Linked DNA regions of Macaca fascicularis. The protein of the gene in region 2 purifies or fractionates together with the protein of the main gene of each other region. This does not show direct contact. Links are inferred from orthologs where the notes say so. Each region holds a gene or a part of one and is shown on either strand. Other genes may lie near its edges.

Evidence for each region.
Region 1: the proteins of BTK (region 2) and BLNK purify together in Homo sapiens (affinity purification with western blotting; 5 studies listed by BioGRID and IntAct, with this or other methods). This does not show direct contact. The link is inferred for Macaca fascicularis from reciprocal best matches to the Homo sapiens genes BTK and BLNK.
Region 3: the proteins of BTK (region 2) and ANKRD54 purify together in Homo sapiens (affinity purification with mass spectrometry; 4 studies listed by BioGRID and IntAct, counting the BioPlex papers as one, with this or other methods). This does not show direct contact. The link is inferred for Macaca fascicularis from reciprocal best matches to the Homo sapiens genes BTK and ANKRD54.

What each region holds. Positions count from the first base shown.
Region 1 is NC_088383.1:105,212,177-105,217,956, reverse strand, and holds the start of BLNK (B-cell linker protein), read left to right. Parts: upstream 1-2,435; 5' UTR 2,436-2,606; coding exon 2,607-2,689; intron 2,690-5,780. UniProt on the Homo sapiens protein: Functions as a central linker protein, downstream of the B-cell receptor (BCR), bridging the SYK kinase to a multitude of signaling pathways and regulating biological outcomes of B-cell function and development.
Region 2 is NC_088395.1:108,038,977-108,044,284, forward strand, and holds part of BTK (tyrosine-protein kinase BTK), read right to left. Parts: intron 2,942-5,308; coding exon 2,873-2,941; intron 1,324-2,872; coding exon 1,242-1,323; intron 1-1,241. UniProt on the Homo sapiens protein: Non-receptor tyrosine kinase indispensable for B lymphocyte development, differentiation and signaling. Binding of antigen to the B-cell antigen receptor (BCR) triggers signaling that ultimately leads to B-cell activation.
Region 3 is NC_088384.1:13,776,723-13,782,725, reverse strand, and holds the start of ANKRD54 (ankyrin repeat domain-containing protein 54), read right to left. Parts: upstream 3,346-6,003; 5' UTR 3,254-3,345; coding exon 2,929-3,253; intron 1-2,928. UniProt on the Homo sapiens protein: Plays an important role in regulating intracellular signaling events associated with erythroid terminal differentiation.

The DNA of each region.
Region 1 (5,780 bases), on a different chromosome or scaffold from region 2:
ACCTCAATGTCCTCTTTTTGCTTTTTCAGCCACCATTAACGTAGTGAAACCAATCCCCTGTGGTGAAGGGAGGTGTGAAATAAGGTCTGAGAACACAGATGTCTCATTGCCTTTTCAGGAACTCAGTTAAATCGTGCTCATGAAGTGCCTCGAAAATAACAAAACACTATACAGAGTTCCCTTATCCTCTTTGGCATTGCTGCCAATAGCAGGAATTGATTTCTTCCTACTATACAACAATTTTCCGAAGCTCTTTGCATCAGACGTTGAGCACTCTCCTTGATCTACTAGATTGGTCAGTAATCTCCAAATCTCAGTGTCTTAAGAAAAGTTTATTTGCTTATACTACTTGGTGGAGAATTCTGCTCCATTCAAGACTCAGGCTGTTGGAGGTTTCACATTTGTGTACCTGTACCACCTAAGCTATGAGCCCATCTCAGTCACCATGGCAGTGGGGAGAGCACTGAGATGAGGATGTCTTGCATCAGTAATTAAAAGCTTTGTCTCAGAAATGATAGACATTCTTGCTGGTCATAGCCCATAGGCCAGAACTAGTCACGCAGTCCCACCTAACTGCAGCAGGGCTTGGAAATGCAAGGGAGCACATGGGATCTTGCCACACCCAGGATTACATGATGTGCTGGTTGATGGTTGTGGAGACTCCCAGTTAAAAGGGTTGTTACTACATCTGCACTAAGCCTGGGGCAGAGAGCAGGGAGGCCCCAGAGCCCTGCACTTCCTGGAGAAGAACCTTTAAAAGGAGGACCACAGTGTGCAGTGTTCAGGCCACTCTGGGGCCTTTCTACAATTCCAAGCTGTTAGTGTGGATCTGTGGACAAGAAGGTGTGGTCCTTCTGAAACATCTCCATACCATCCATTCCTCCTTTTGAGCAGCATCTAGAGTGAAAAATCCTTAATACAGCATCAAAGGGCTAACCTAAGTGTGAGTCAGGTGCCTTTCCTGATTCCACAGTCTTCTGTGCCTCTCTGCCCATGAAAGCATGTGCCATCCTGTGTTGTAATGATTTAATCCCTTGTGTATACTCCACGCTGGACTATAAGTCTTGCTGTATTTACAGCTGAATCCCCAGCATCATAGTACAGTACCTGGTAAAGTAGGCTGACTAGTAAGTGTTTGAAGAACAAATTCAAATTCAAATGTAGTTGACTTTATTTATTTATTTATTTATTTATTTATTTTTGAGGTGGAGTCTCACTCTTTCATCCAGGCTGAAGTGGCATGATCTTTGCTCACTGCAACCTCCACCCCCCAGGTTCAAGTGATTCTCCTGCCTCAGCCTCCTGAGTAGCTGGGATTACAGGTCCGTGCCACCACACCCAACTAATTTTTGTATTTTTAGTAGAGACGGTTACTCCATGTTGGCCAGGCCGGTCTCGAACTCTCGACCTCAGGTGATCCACCTGCCTTGGCCTCCCAAAGTGCTAGGATTACAGACATGAGCCACTGCACCTGGCCGTTGATATTGTTATTAAGCTTTTACACTGTTTGGGCAACTGTGATATAAATCTTCTGCCATGACCACCTTTCTCCATCTTAAACATTCCCAATTAAATGTCCCTTCAATATGAGCAAGTAGAATACAGGTGTTAAGGAACCAGACGACCTGAAATCAAAACTCAGACATTTATGAGCTGTGTGACCTTGGGCAAGTTACCAAACCTTTCTGTGTTTCATTTCCCTTATCTCTGCAATGGAGATTAGAATGATTTCTATCTTACAGGTGCCTATGAGGACTAAAGCACTTCAAAGAGCACTGGCATGCAAGTTGCCACAACTGTCCATTGCTATTGTAATAGCCCAGGTTTCTCCTTGTTCCCCCTCCACTTCCCTGTGTTCCCATATACTTTGTAGGTAACCCTGTCACAGTCCTTCCCAATGGCCTTTTGCTTTCCCTAGACTTTTCCAAAAGTGGTGCCAGGCCCGCTTAGGAATAGCTGACACAGGAGGATCACTTGAGCCCAGTAGGTCGAGGCTGCAGAGAGCCCTGTTCATGCCACTGAACTCCAGCGTGGGTAACAGAGTTAGACTCTGTCTCAAAAAAGAAAATAAAACAAGACAAAAAAATAAAACAGACCTAGGACTCTAATGAGACCAGAGGGGTGTCCTGCAATGATTCATGGGAACACTGGTCCCATGAAGTGTTCCAGGCAAAACAAAAATTCTGTAGTGAATTAAGTGTAGAGAAACCAGAGAAACTCTATACAATGTGTGTTAGAACATTAAAGGTTTGTAATAAACTGTATTCACCCATTGTATTCTCAACGTGCTTACCTTTTGTTTGTTTGTTTTGTAGAACACCTATAGCACCCTTCTGAATGCAACTGGAAGTATTGGTGCCTAAGGAGCTACACAAGCCTGAACCTCCTGCTACTTGCCAGATGTATGAGCTTGAGCCATTCCCTTACCCCATGGGGGGATCACAGCTTCCAACATGTAAAATAGCAGTCATAGTGCCAACTTCTTCACATTATAAGTGATGAATAAGATAGCATGACAACTGCCTGCCTGGTCCACATGGGAGCTGGGCCACTGTTCTGTCCTCCCCTCCACGCTGCCAACACCATGATGCTGGCAGATGTGACCAATGCTCCTGCCTGTTCGGGTGATGATGGCTCTGAGGAAACAAAGAACACAGCAGCTCACTGGTCTCCGTGCTGATGCTCCCAGGTAGCCACTGCTCCTCTTAGTTTGGGATTGTTTTTAAATTTTTTCCATTTTGGGTAATATTTAGTCTCCACATGATCATTCTTACAGATCTTTATTGAGTACAAGTGTATGGGGCAAGAAGCAATGGGGAGAATTTTAGGTTTTCTATGGTTCAGTGGAGAAGCAGTCCTCTCCCCATCAGCAAACATTATTTTTATCCTTAGGAGTCCTGTTGTTATTCTCTGTGCACAGTGGAGGAAGTCAGTTTGAGAGAGAAAACTTCTGTTTCCGGTACTTTGATTTTCTTTTATATCAAATATCTTGTATCATCTATTCATTTCAAGGTGTAGATCTGGGACCTGTGCCATCCTCAAATGTGCGGGCAGGGTTTTGTTTTGGTTTGGTTTTTCACCGAGCACCAGCTTCCTCTGTTGCCTGAACAGCTGTGTTTGGTTCTTGGCAGCAAGTGTCTTCTGGAGCTTAGAACTGCCTTGCCAGGAACATGTGTAGAGTGTCTTGAATGAAAAATAAACCTTGGAAAATTTGTTTCTTGCCGTTAAGAAGCATTTGGTAGCTATACATGTTGGGTGCCTAACAAGAACAAGAAATTTTAGTTATAACAGGGGTTCACTTTCATCTACAAGGTAAGAAGTGATAGTTAGAACAATGGAATTGATGTACAACAGCAGCTTATTTGTGACTTCTAGTCTTTATTCCAAAATGTTTATTAAACTTAGCTGTATACAAAATTATGGGTGACAGCATGAATATCAGGCATGGAGGGGAGAAAATACAGGGATTTGCTTCAAGGACAAATTTGAATAGGAGAGTTGGGATTTTATTTGCAAAGAGTTAGGAGCTGTCGAAGGTGTTTAAGCAAACACTGAAGGTGATCAAAATGGTGCCCTAGGGAAATTAATCAGGCAATGATGAATGGGGTGAATTGGTGAGGCAGAAAGAAGGGAAGCAATCAGGAGACAATTATAATAAGATGTGACTTGGGGCCACTGGAGAGAATGAGAACAGAGCCTGGGCGAGATGATAGACCTTGTGCTGTGGATCAGTGGTTGGGGCCATGGCTCCTGGGTATCTGGGGGTAAAATCCTCTAGTCCTGCCAATATCCCATAACTTCCAAATCTTTATCTCTAGCCCATTTCTCTCTCTTGAGCACCAGACCCATTTACATTCCACTGAAAAATACTATTCAAAATTCCTAAAACAGAACTACTCATCATCACTCCCCAAACTGCTCCTTCACTTCTCTCACCACATCCTTTTAATTCTTGTTCTTGACTGATAATGTCTCTAAGGTAAGCAGTTAAACACATCTTTCTCTCCTGGGGCTTATGAACTGAGTGCGAAACAAGCATGGGTCTGTTGGCAGTGGGGTGCATGTGAATGTTTAGCAGCCAGCTTGCAAAGTTCCAGAACATTTGACCATGAGTTCTTGTGAGCTGGCATCAGCTGACTCCAGCACACCACTGTGACCAGAGTCACAAGATCAGCTTTATTACTGGTAAACTGGAGAATCTGACTTGATGCTTTAGCTCCAACCTTCCAGACATATATAACTGAATTGAGAAGTTTATGATACAATAATATTATCATATATACTGGTAATAACAGTCATCTCTAAAGATGTTAGGCTTTGTGAAGTGCTTTACCATTTATCCTCACATTCCTCAGAAGGCCCTGGAAGATGTTTAGCTTGCCCCCTTACACTCATCTGCTGGAGGAATTCAGAGGAGGGCGGGAAAAGGTGGCAGGAAGGGCACTCACAGGGGAGGGAGCCTGTCACGGGCCAGGAGGGCTGGAAGGATTTGAGCAGATGGGGGAAACGGAGAGAAGCCAGGTTTGGAGCAGACCTCACAGACCGCCTAGAGCCTGAGTTGGCACTGAGAAGTCATGGGAGCTTCTGAGCAGGACAGTGGCAGGCCTGAGGCAGGGTCACAGAGGGGCAGCCCTGCAGTGAATGTACCATGGTCCAGAACGGGACTCCTTGAAGGTGCAGAGAGCTGAAGCTGCTACTTCAGCTGGGTCACTATTGCAAATGGCCCGAAGAGAACCATGGAAGCCTCAACGGGTACCATTCATTCATTCAATGCATATTGACTACGTGCCTATTATGTGCCAGGCACTTCTAGGCATTAGTAATACAGAGTGAATAAAACAACCCCTGCTTCATGAGATTTACATACTTGTCTGTTACTGGAAGGAAACAGACAATAAATAAAATTATTCAAGAATCTCAAGCAGGCCAGATGGTGATAAATGCTGTAGAGAGAAATAAAGGGGACAGGGCATGCCAGGATCGGGTTGGGGTGGCAGTCTAAGATTATCCAATTAGGCTTCATTGAGGAGATGACATTTTAGCAAAGATCTGAAAGAAACCAATGATGGTAGTGATGGAAACAGGCATAAATGTGCCAGACCAAGGAGGCAGATCATAAAGAAATCATTTTAAAAGGAGAGAGGATGGGCACATCAAAATCTCAGAAATCACACTTAAAGAACTTATCCACCTAACCAAACACCACTTGTTCCCCAAAAACTACTGGAAAAAAAAAAGTCTACCTTAAAAAAAAAATTGAGGCCAGGCTCATGCCTGTAATCCTAGCATTTTGGGAGGTTGAGGTAGGAGAATCATTTGAGACCAGGAGTTCAAGACCAACCTGGGCAACAAAGCAGGACCCTGTCTCTACAAAAATAAAAGTAAAAAATTAGTTGAGTGTGGTGGTGCAGGAGGATTTCTTGAACCCAGAAGGTTGAGGCTATAGTGAGCCATGACTGTGCCACTGCACTCCAGCCTGGGCAACAGAGCCAGATCTTATTTCATAAATAAATAAATAAAGAGAGAGACAGAGAGAATCTCACAATTATTTAGGCAGTGAATTGGAAAACAATAGTTTTGGGTTATAAAACCAAAATTGTAAAATACAATTAAACCAAACTTGAAATGTGTTTGACCTTTATGGTTTGAAAAGAGTCAGTTAAATATTTCAGTTATTGTTTACTGGATCTTACGGAGGGCATTTTATGCTATAGTAGTATTTGTAGTGTTTATAACACTAGGGGATTGAGACAGTCTTATCAGAGTGAAATGAATAGCAA
Region 2 (5,308 bases):
GCTGCAAGCATTTACAGTCAAGTTTATCTGAACACACTGTATGGTTGATGTGAAATGCTGAAACTGTTCAAGTTTAGGTCCTCACAAAGCAAGGAATATAAAATATTTCCTTGGGAAATATTTATCCACAACAAAGAGATGTACAGTGCTTTCATGTACAGTGATTTACAGTTTTCCATGTGCTTTTACATGTATTATTACTTCATTTAATCCTTACAACAACCCCAGAGGTAGGTGTGGCATGAATTACCATTATTCTCTTTTGAGAGGAAGAAACTGAGCATCAAAGAAGCTTATTGACCTTCTGGCCAGAAATCGCCCAGTTTGTAAGTGGTAAAAGAGGGCTTGAAACCAGGTTCTCTGACTCTGACTTCAAGCACTCTCATACATCATCTATTTAATTTTTTGGAGCTAGGTATTTTATGCTTAGGATTCTAAATATTGCATAACCATTGGATGCCACATCACCCTTGTATTCAGTGTGAAAAATGGGACTTTTTTTAATAAATAGAGAAATGGAGGTGCCTACAATTACAAAATTGCACTAGAGAGATAGTGGTAGAACTGGGAAACTCTTAGTCTAATATTTTATCTTTTATTCATATGATAGAATACTAAGCTCAGTTGTATTACTAATACTGAAGCAAAATACAAACTTTCCTTTGTTTCTCTCTTTTCTATTTGTCTTTCTTTCCTCCCTCATCCCCTTCCTTCTTTTTTTTTTTTTTTTTTTTTTTGAGACGGAGTCTCGCTCTGCAGCCCAGGCTGGAGCGCAGTGGCCGGATCTCGGCTCACTGCAAGCTCCGCCTCCCGGGTTCACGCCATTCTCCTGCCTCAGCCTCCCGAGTAGCTGGGACTACAGGCGCCCGCCACCTCGCCCGGCTAGTTTTTTGTATTTTTTAGTAGAGACGGGGTTTCACCGTGTTAGCCAGGATGGTCTCGATCTCCTGACCTCGTGATTCGCCCGTCTCGGCCTCCCAAAGTGCTGGGATTACAGGCTTGAGCCACCGCGCCTGGCCCCCTTCCTTCTTTCCTTGCTTCCTTCCTTCCTGTCTCCCTCCTCCCCTCCCTCTCTCTTTCTTTTCTCCCCTTCTATCCATTTTTTCTTCTTTTCTCTCTACGTTTCTCCTTTCTCTTTCTTTCTCGTTTCGCTCTTCCTTCTTTCCTTTTCCTCCCACCTATCTCCTCTTCCTTCCTTTCCTTCTTTCTTTGGAAACATTTATTTTCCAAATAATTCTCACCGTTTTTGAGCTGGTGAATCCACCGCTTCCTTAGTTCTTCAGTTGGGGAGAAGACGTAGAGAGGCCCTTCATCATATACAACCTGGATCAATGAAAACACAGACTTCCGCGGTTAGGATTCAGAAAAAAAGGAGAACGACCTTCAAGGTACTAATCTTAGGGGACAATTTGTATATTCATTGTAGAAAACAAAGAAAGGCAGAATCTTCAGTCAGCAGTGGTGTTCAGGTTATGTGAACTATCTGAAGGATTCCTGAACTCTTCATATCTAAGGATGTAGCATTTGAAAGCTCTTAGAATTTTTCATCCTCTTAGGTCCCTCCTGACTTGTGTTTCAATTCATGCATAAACTTATTTTATAATGTCTCAGTCTGCCCTTGCTGGAGATAACATTTTTGTTTATCCAACAAAGGGTATTTTATCTTATTATTAAATTCTGACTTTGTATAGAAGAGAATTGAAGTGATAATCTATATAAATTGTCTTGATTAGTACATATAGGTTATTCACTTGGATAATATGGAGTAAAATTTTAATTCATGGCTAATTACCTCCACCTCCACTACCTAGTGGCTTCCCCTCACCAATATTAGCCAAAATAAATCAAATTTGGAACTACAAACCTACTTCAAAAAGGGCAAGTTATATAATAAGCAATATCATCAAGTCAAATAGTATTTTTTTAACCATGTACAGGCATCATGCTAGGTGTTATGAAGATGCACGAAATATATAAGATGTGGTTCCAACCCTCACAGAGTTTATAGACATCACATAATAAATTATAAAGTCAAATATAAATTAATTTAAAATTATCTGCTATTCAGCATTATTCACTAGTGCAGCCAAACAATGTCATTTTGTTGAAAGGCATTGGTAGTAAAAACTGTATCTGAAATACCCCTCTTTCAAAGGTTTTGTAACTTTGATATAGTCAGGGACATGAACAAGATCCTTTTACATTTTTCTTTTTGCTTGTTAGTCTTGCTGTGCTCATAAATCCATGACAGAAAGCCCCCTCCCCTGAGACTTTCCACTTCCTTTTCTGGCTTTCACTGTTGCAGAGGCTGCTATATTCACGACATGTGGCCTACAGAGTTCTCAGGATGTAAGCAAGCCAAACTGAAGACCAAATTTGTAGTTCTTGCTCTCCTAAACAGATGCATATGTGGCACTTCAGCTCTTCCAGATTACAACAGAATTTAGGTTTATGCTAAGTCTAATAAGTCTTCCTCATACTGAACTTCCTAATACTACTCCCCTTTTCTGTCTTCAACCCACATGACCACCATTAGACAGATTATCAGAACCAGAAGGAAGTGAAATGCTCACTCAACAAGCAGAGCATCTTTCTCAATGCAGTTATCATAGACAAGACAGACTATGATAGAATTGGTCCTGCTATGTATTCTTTTTGAGGTATAGAGACTAAAAGAAACTATATTAGATTAGGTAAATAGAAAAGCAAACATTCTCAACCCATGCCGGTCTCATTTCTTGGTTCAGCATCTTTGTCCACCTCAACTTCTATTTACTGGGTCCTCGTAGCCTTCCCTCTGCCCTGCACCCCACCACCCCTTCTAATTGTGTTACAGGGGCCTTTCAAGACTTGGTGAGAGAAAGTAACTCACCTGGAAGGGATAAGGGAATCTTTCAATGATTGAAATTTGCTCCATTTCACTGGACTCTTCACCTCTTCTCTGTAATGAAATAAGAAAAAATGGTTATTGGTTGATGCATTACTCTTTTCTGAATTTCCTTAGGTACTGGAAGCCTTTTGCTGTGGCTTCAGAAGTTTCTCCTGCACAGACAAGGCTGATGCTTAGTGATTACTTTCTATAGGTCAATAGGGACACATATACAATAGGACCCAGCGCATACCCAGTCAAGAGAGACTCAGGTATTTCAAATCATTGGGAAAATGAAGGTTTCTAAAAAATTGTTGTTGGGACAAATATTTAACCACTAATGTTGTGGGGAGGAGAGGAGTTAGGTAGCTATGTTACACCATACACCAAAGAAAATTCCAGATGAATTCAAGAGCTTAATATAAAAAATAAAACCATGAATGACTGAGAGTAAATATAAGCGATTATTTATATAACTTTGTGGGAGGCAAGCTTTTTCTAATATAATTATAAAACTTAGAACTATTGAGAAAAAACTGAACTAATTTGATGACATAGACTTTAAATCCCTATATGGCAAAAAGCATCATAAACAAAATTGAAAGATAAAGGATAAACTGAAAAACATTTTCAGCATACATTACAGTTAAAGGATTAATATTCTTATATCAAGATCTCTTTAAAAGTATTAGAAATGAGGTAAACATCGCAATGTAAAAATGGACCAAAAGGGCCTGGCGCAGTGGCTCAAGCCTGTAATCCCAGCACTTTGGGAGGCCGAGACGGGCGAATCACGAGGTCAGGAGATCGAGACCATCCTGGCTAACACGGTGAAACCCCGTCTCTACTAAAAAATACAAAAAACTAGCCGGGCGAGGTGGCAGGCGCCTGTAGTCCCAGCTACTCGGGAGGCTGAGGTAGGAGAATGGCGTAAACCCGGGAGGCGGAGCTTGCAGTGAGCAGAGATCCGGCCAGGGCGACAAAGCGAGACTCCGTCTCAAAAAAAAAAAAAAAGGACCAAAAATTAATGGGCAATTCACAAATAAAATATAAATGAGCAGTAGACCAACTTTATGAATAAAAGAAATTGCAAAATAAGCAACAAAATGCTCTCTCTCTCTCTCTCTCTCTCTCTCTATATATATATATATATTTTTTTTTTTGAGATGGAGTCTTGCTCTGTCGCCCAGCCTGGAGTGCAGTGGTGCGATCTCAGCTCACTGCAACCTTCATCTCCCGGGTTCAAGGAATTCTCCTGCCTCAGCCTCCCGAGTAACTGGGATTACAGGCTCGCACCACCATGCCCAGCTAATTTTTGTATTTTTAGTAGAGACGGAGTTTCACCATGTTGGTCAGGCTGGTCTCAAACTCCTGCTCATGATCCGCTTGCCTTGGCCTCCCAAAGTGCTGGGATTACAGGCGTAAACCACCGCGCCCTGCCTGAAATGCTATTTTTCTTGGCTGTCAAATTAACTAATATTTAAAATATCTAGTGTTGGGCCGGGCACAGTGGCTCACGCTTGTAATCCCAGCACTTTGGGAAGCCCGAGGTGGGAGGATCCCTTGAGGTCAGGAGTTAGAGATCAGCCTGGCCAACCTGGTGAAACCCCATCTCTACTAAAAATGCAAAAATTAGCCGGGTGTGGTGGTGGGTACCTGTAGTCCCAGCTACTCAGGAGGCTGGGACAAGAGAATCAATTGAACTGGAGGTGGAGGTTGCAGTGAGCGGAGATCGCACCACTGCCCTCCAGGCTGGGCGACAGGCGAGAATCCGTCTCAAATAATAATAATAATAATAACAACAACAACAACATAAAATATCAAGTGTTGGAAAAAATGTACAGAAACAGGCACTCTCATACATAGCTTGTAGTGTATGAAATTCAATTCCACTTCTAGAAAATGAAATAAAAAGATAAAAATAACCAAAGTGCACAGATTTTCTTAAAGAGAAGAACAAAATTTTACTTCTAGGAAATTATCATAAGGAAAAGAATAAAAAAAGTACAGAAAGATGTATGCAAGATTGTTCTTCTCAACATGGTTTATACTATCAAGCACTTGTAGACAAACTGAATGTGTAATAATGGGAGATTAGTTAAACAAATTACAATACATCCATAATAGGGAATACCATGCAGTCATTAAAATCATGTTATTAGAGAGTATCTATTGTCATGAGGAACAGTTTCCCACGTATCGTTACATTGAAAAAGTAGGTTACAAAGCAAGATGTGTACTATGAGTCTATGTTTTAAATGTATAACATATATAAGTGTATCTGTATGTGTTCTTAGTGAAGAAAAACATCTGTTTTCCAGGTTTAGTAAGTCTAGGTACACCAATATGTTAATAGTTGTTTTAACTGGGTAACAGGATTATGCATCATTTTAATCTTTTTGTGTTTTTTATATATTCCAGAGTTTCTATAATAAATAT
Region 3 (6,003 bases), on a different chromosome or scaffold from region 2:
TTGAAGCCAGAAGGTGGAGGCCACAGTGAGCTGAGATTACGTCACTGCGAGACAAAGCGAGACTCTGTCTCAGGGAGAAAAAAAAAAAAAAAAAAAAAGCTATGATGGCCGGGCACAGTGGTTCATGCCTATAATCCCAGTACTTTGGGAGGCCAAGGCAGGTAGATCACTTGAGGCTAGGAGTTCAAGACCAGCCCAGCCAATAGGTGAAACCCCATCTCTACTAAAAATACAAAAATAGCCAGACGTGGTGACTCATGCCTGTAATCCCAGAACGTTGGAAAGCTGAGGCGGGCAGATTGCCCGTGCTCTAGAGTTTGAAACCACCCTAGGCAACATGGTGAAACCTTGTCTATAGCAAAATACAAAAAATTAGTTGGGCATGGGGGTGCACACCTATAATCCCAGCTACTTGGGAGGCTCAGGCAGGAGAATCGCTTAAGCCCAGGAGGCAGAGGTTGCAGTGAGCCAAGATTGTGCCACTGTACTCCAGCTTGGGCAACAGAGTGAGACTGTCACCAAAAAAAAAAAAAAAAAAAAAAAAAAAAAGGGAAAAAAAAAAAAGGCCGAGTGCAGTGGCTCACGCTTGTAATCCCAACAGTTTGAGAGGCCAAGGTGGGTGGATCACGAGGTCAGGAGTTTGAGACCAGCCTGGCCAGTAAGGTGAAATCCTGTCTCTACTAAAAATACAAAAATTAGCCAGGCATGGTGGTGCATGCCTGTTATCCCAACTACTCGGGAGGCTAAGGCAGGAGAATCGCTTGAACCTGAGAGCCAGAGGTTGCAGTGAGCCAAGATTGCGCCACTGCACTCCAGCCTGGGCGACAGATGAGACTCCGTCTCAAAATAAATAAATAAATACATAAATAAGTAAAATAAAATAAAAATAAATAAATAAATAAAATAAAAATACAAAGAGTAGGCAGGTGTGGTGGTGCATGCCTGTAATCCCAGCTACTTAGGAGGCTGAGACACAAGAATCACTTGAGCCCAAAATCACCCCACGGCACTCCAGCCTGGGTGGCAGAGCAACGCTCGATCTCAAAAAAAAAAAAAAGAAAGAAAACATATTTCTAAATCTTAGGTTAAGTTCTAACTTAAATCTATCTAACATGGTAAAACCCTCTCTCTACTAAAAATACAAAAACTAGCTGGGTGTGGTGGCGTGGGCCTGTAGTCCCAGCTACTTGGGAGGCTGAGGCAGTAAGCCAAGATTGCACCACTTGCACAGCAGCCTGGGTGGTAAAGTGACACTCTGTCTTCAAACAAGAAAAGAAAGACAGTGCCCTGGGAACAAGGAGGAACTTGAAATGAGGCGGAGCTAGTACAAAGGCCACATGCTCCTGCAAATCCTCCAAGACTTTTTTTGGAACCAGATTTCCTCTCTATCACTTGTAGTCGCAGGGTGACCTTGAGCAAGCTAGTTAACCCCGCTGGGCCTCAGGTCTATCATCTGCACAACAAGGCTGAGTTGTTCTGCCAGCCCTGAGTTATTGTAAATGATTTACATGGAAGCTCTTTGTGAGCTGGTCACACAGATCATCTTATATTCTCCTTCAAAGCAGGTCGTTCCCAAATGATTTGCCTAAATTTGGTATTTCCTAAGCAGAAAGTTTTTCCCCCTCCAATGGCTAATGGAAAGCAATGTTTTTGTCATTGGAGATATGGTCAAAAATTGCAATTCAGATACATAACAATTCCTTGCTTTCATACAGCACTGTACAGTCTATACAACACTTCCAAATTCTTAATCTTTGCAACATGACGAAAATATGGCTAGTCATAGCCAGTCCTGGAAGAAATCCCGAAAGTCCCCATTCTTAATCTCTCAGTGCCTGGGTTTCGGTGTCACCCATGTAATATAGAAGACAATATGGTAGATATACCAGAGCAGGAGTTTGAGTCGGGCTGACCCAGATTCTAATATCAGCAACAGCCACTTGTTATGTGACCTGGAATAAGACAATTTCTCTGAGCCTCAGTTTCCTCTTCAGTAAAATGGGAAGAATTCCTATATCTCAAAGAGTTCTTGTGAGGACAAATGATCATGTATCAGCATGTTTGGGGCACAACAAAAGCAGCATAACAACTAAACGTCCATTACCTTACTTAACTCAACCCATTTTACAAATGAGAAAACTAAGGCTGAGGCCAGGCCAATGGCTCATGCCTGTTATGCCAGTACTTTGGGAGGCCGAGGCAGGTGGATCACCTGAGGTCAGGAGTTCGAGACTAGCCTGGCCAACATGGCGAAACCCCATCTCTACTAAAATTACAAAAATTAACCAGGGGTGGTAGCGGGCACCTGTAACCCCAGCTACTGGGGAGGCTGAGGCAGGAGAATCGCTTAAACCCGGGGGGCGGAGGTTGCAGTGAACCGAGATCACGCCACTGCACTCCAGCCTGGGCAACAGAGAGAGACTCCGTCTCAAAAAATATAATAATAATAATCATAATAAATAAAATAAAAAATAAAAAAATTTAAAAAGTAAACTAAAGTTTAAAGGGTCTATCATTTGCCCTAAGGTCTTAACGTGGTAAAGGAGTCCAAGTCCGTGCATTTAAACAAGCTGATACGACTTGGCTGCAGGTTCTGGCCTCCCCTCTCCCTGATAATAAAAGTGTTCTCCAGTGCCTCATTTTATTATCCACCAATAAGTGTTCCGAGTCATGGGAAGTTTCCATTCAGAAATTCCCCAGTGAGAGAAGTCTGGGGTGACTGTCTCAGAGCAGGAAGACTTTTTTAAAAACCATCATCACCGTCATTACTGAAAGGAGACTCAAGGGTCAGTGTGGCCCTCAGCGCAGACGTCGGGGGACCGCGACTGAGGGTCGGGGGCGACCAAAGCGCCGCCAGCCGTCCTCCAAAGCCCCGCCCCTCATCCGGGTTGCTCCGCCCCGGGCCCCCGCGCCGCTCGCGCAGCTCACCGTGCACCTCCTTGCCCGTGGGCCCGAGCCGCCGGTGGGGCCTGGCGGCGCGCCTCAGTCGGCCGGCGGGGATCTTGCAGCGCAGCTCGTCGCGCGGCTCCGCATCCTGCTGCCACAGGACATGCAGGTAGCGCAGCGGCGACTGGGCCCCGCCGGACGCTCGGCTCGAGAGGCCCGCGCCGCCGCCCAGCGCAGACCCGAAGTCGGCGAAAGAGAAGAGGCCCTCAGCGCCCGTCAGCGGCTCCGGCGCCACCGCGCACTCGCCCTCCGAGCTCGAGTGGCCCGAGCGCCGCTCGTCGTCCGCGTCCCCGGCGGCGGCTGCCATGGCAACGGCTCCGCGCGGGCCTGGCCGCCGGAGCCTCGTTCCCGATCGACCAACGGACCTACTTCCCTCCTATCTGAGTCGCGCTGTCAGCTAGCGGGCGGGCTGGCCGGGCCTGAAACCACGGCAACCGAGCCGGGGTGGGCTCAGGCCGAGCCGTAGCGGCGAACCAATGACGACCCTTCCAGCTTAAACCCCTCCCAAAACCAATCGGAAAGGGAGGGCACAGTATAAGCAGGATAATTGGACAGGATTTCCGGCAACGTGACTGACAGACATAATAACCAATCATAAACTTAAAGTGACTTTGGCTTTCGCGCTACGTCGCTACCGGAGCCCATAAAATGGCATTTCAGACACTTTTTTTCTTTTTTTGGAGTCTCAGTCTGTCGCCAGGTTGGCGATCTTGGCTCACTGCAACCTCCGCCTCCTGGGTTCAAGCGATTCTCCTGCCTCAGCCTCCCGAGTAGCTGGGACTACAGGCGCGCGCCATCACGCTTAGCTAATTTTTTTATTTTTAGTAGAGATGGGGTTTCACTATATTGGCCAGGATGGTCTCGATCTCTTGATCTCGAGATCCGCCCACCTCGGTCTCCCAAAGTGCTGGGATTACAGGCGTGAGCCACCGCGCCCGGTCTCTTTTTTTCTTTTTCCTCTCCATTTCCCGGTCTAACGAAAGAACAAGCAGATACCTTAGCCAATCAGATTAAGATGATTTGCAGGCACTCACAAAGGAAAATGAAGAAGCCACGCTATTCATGTAGATAGATATAGATGTTGTAAATCAATGAACGCAAAAAAAAAAAGAAAAAGAAAAAGAAAAAAAGAACTTCCCACAAATGCATAATGTACGTGGGAAAGGGAAAATGTGTTGAAATTTGGAGATATCACTACACACTGTGAGTCATAGTGTCTAAATGCAATGGATTTCCTTTAGTCAGAGTTCTCTAGGTAACCCCGACGTAGATAGCTGATTTACAAAGATTTGTAATACAAAGTGATTACATTAGAGCAATAGTTTAGTTCGACAGCCAGTCACTGAGCCAGTTGACTGCCAGGTCCTGGACACAGGATCAGACTTGGTGCCCCTGAGATGCTCACAGTCTAATGGGAGGAGACCAGGAAACAAATAAGTGTTCCTCAAGCAACATTTCATGGGTGCACCTTTTCGTAAAACTTCTCACAATCCCGTACCCCACAAACACTTCTATAAAGTAGACAAGAAGGACTGTCCCTATTTTATAGATGAGTTGAAAAGCAGAGAGAAGAGACTCATTCACTGTTGCCCAGCTCTCATGGGACCAAGTCTTGTGTCCAGGCAAAAGTTTTTGCCATATATAAACCCTCTCACTCAACCCAGTTAAAATGTAATCTTTCAGCCGGGCATGGTGGGTCACACCTGTAATCCCAGCACTTTGGGAGGCCAAGATGGGCAGATCACAAGGTCAGGAGTTCAAGACAAGCCTGGACAACATGATGAAACCCCGTTTCTACTAAAAATACAAAAATTAGCCGGGTGTGGTGGCGCATACCTGTAATCCCAGCTACTCAGGAGACTGAGACAGGAGAGTCGTTTTAACCTGGGAAGCAGAGGTTGCGGTGAGCTGAGATTGTGCCATGGCAGTCCAGCCTGGGTGACAGAGCGAGAGTCCATCTCAAAAAAAGAAAAAAAGAGGCCGGGCGCGGTGGCTCAAGCCTGTAATCCCAGCACTTTGGGAGGCCGAGACGGGCGGATCACGAGGTCAGGAGATCGAGACCATCCTGGCTAACACGGTGAAACCCCGTCTCTACTAAAAAATACAAAAAACTAGCCAGGCGAGGTGGTGGGCGCCTGTAGTCCCAGCTACTCGGGAGGCTGAGGCAGGAGAATGGCGTGAACCCGGGAGGCGGAGCTTGCAGTGAGCTGAGATCCGGCCACTGCACTCCAGCCCGGGCTACAGAGCGAGACTCCGTCTCAAAAAAAAAAAAAAAAAAAAGAAAAAGAAAAAAATCTCTTACAATTGGAAAAGCACTTCCAGAATTTTCAGTGTTTGCAGGTCGCCATTGTGAGGTTTATCATTGTACTATATGGAGAAAAATGCTATGTTTATTTGTACTCTCCTCGTCTGCCCCGTAATGGATAAAGTGCTGAGACAGGATCTCTCACTGTCACTAAGGCTGGAGTGCAGTGGTGTGATCACAGCTCACTGCACTCGAGCTTTCCTCCCCACCTCAGCCTCCTGAGTAGCTGGGACCACAGACGTGTATCACCATGCCTGGCTAATTTTTTTTTTTTATTTTTTTGCCGACATAGTCTCCCTTTGTTGTTCAGGCTAGTCTTGAACTCCTTGCCTCGAGGGCTCCTCCTGCCTCTGCACCCCAAAATGCCGAGATTACAGGCGTGAGCCACAGTGCCTAGGCCCCAATTTTTTTTTTTAAGATGGGGTCTTACTATATTGCCCAGGCTGATCTTGAACTCCTGAGCTCAAGTGCTCCTCCCACCTTGGCCTCCTAAAGTGCTGGCATGAGCCACCACATTCGGCCCAGTGAAAATCTTCTGAATGGCCAGGCACGGTGGCTCACGCCTATAATCCCAGCACTTTGGGAGGCCGAGGCAGGTGGATCACAAGGTCAGGAGATTGAGACCATCCTGGCTAACACCATGAAACCCCATCTCTACTTTAAAAAAAAAAAAAAAAAAATTAGCTGGGTGTGGTGGCGGGCGCCTGTAGTCCCAGCTACTCGGGAGGCTGAGGCAGGAGAATGGTGCAAAC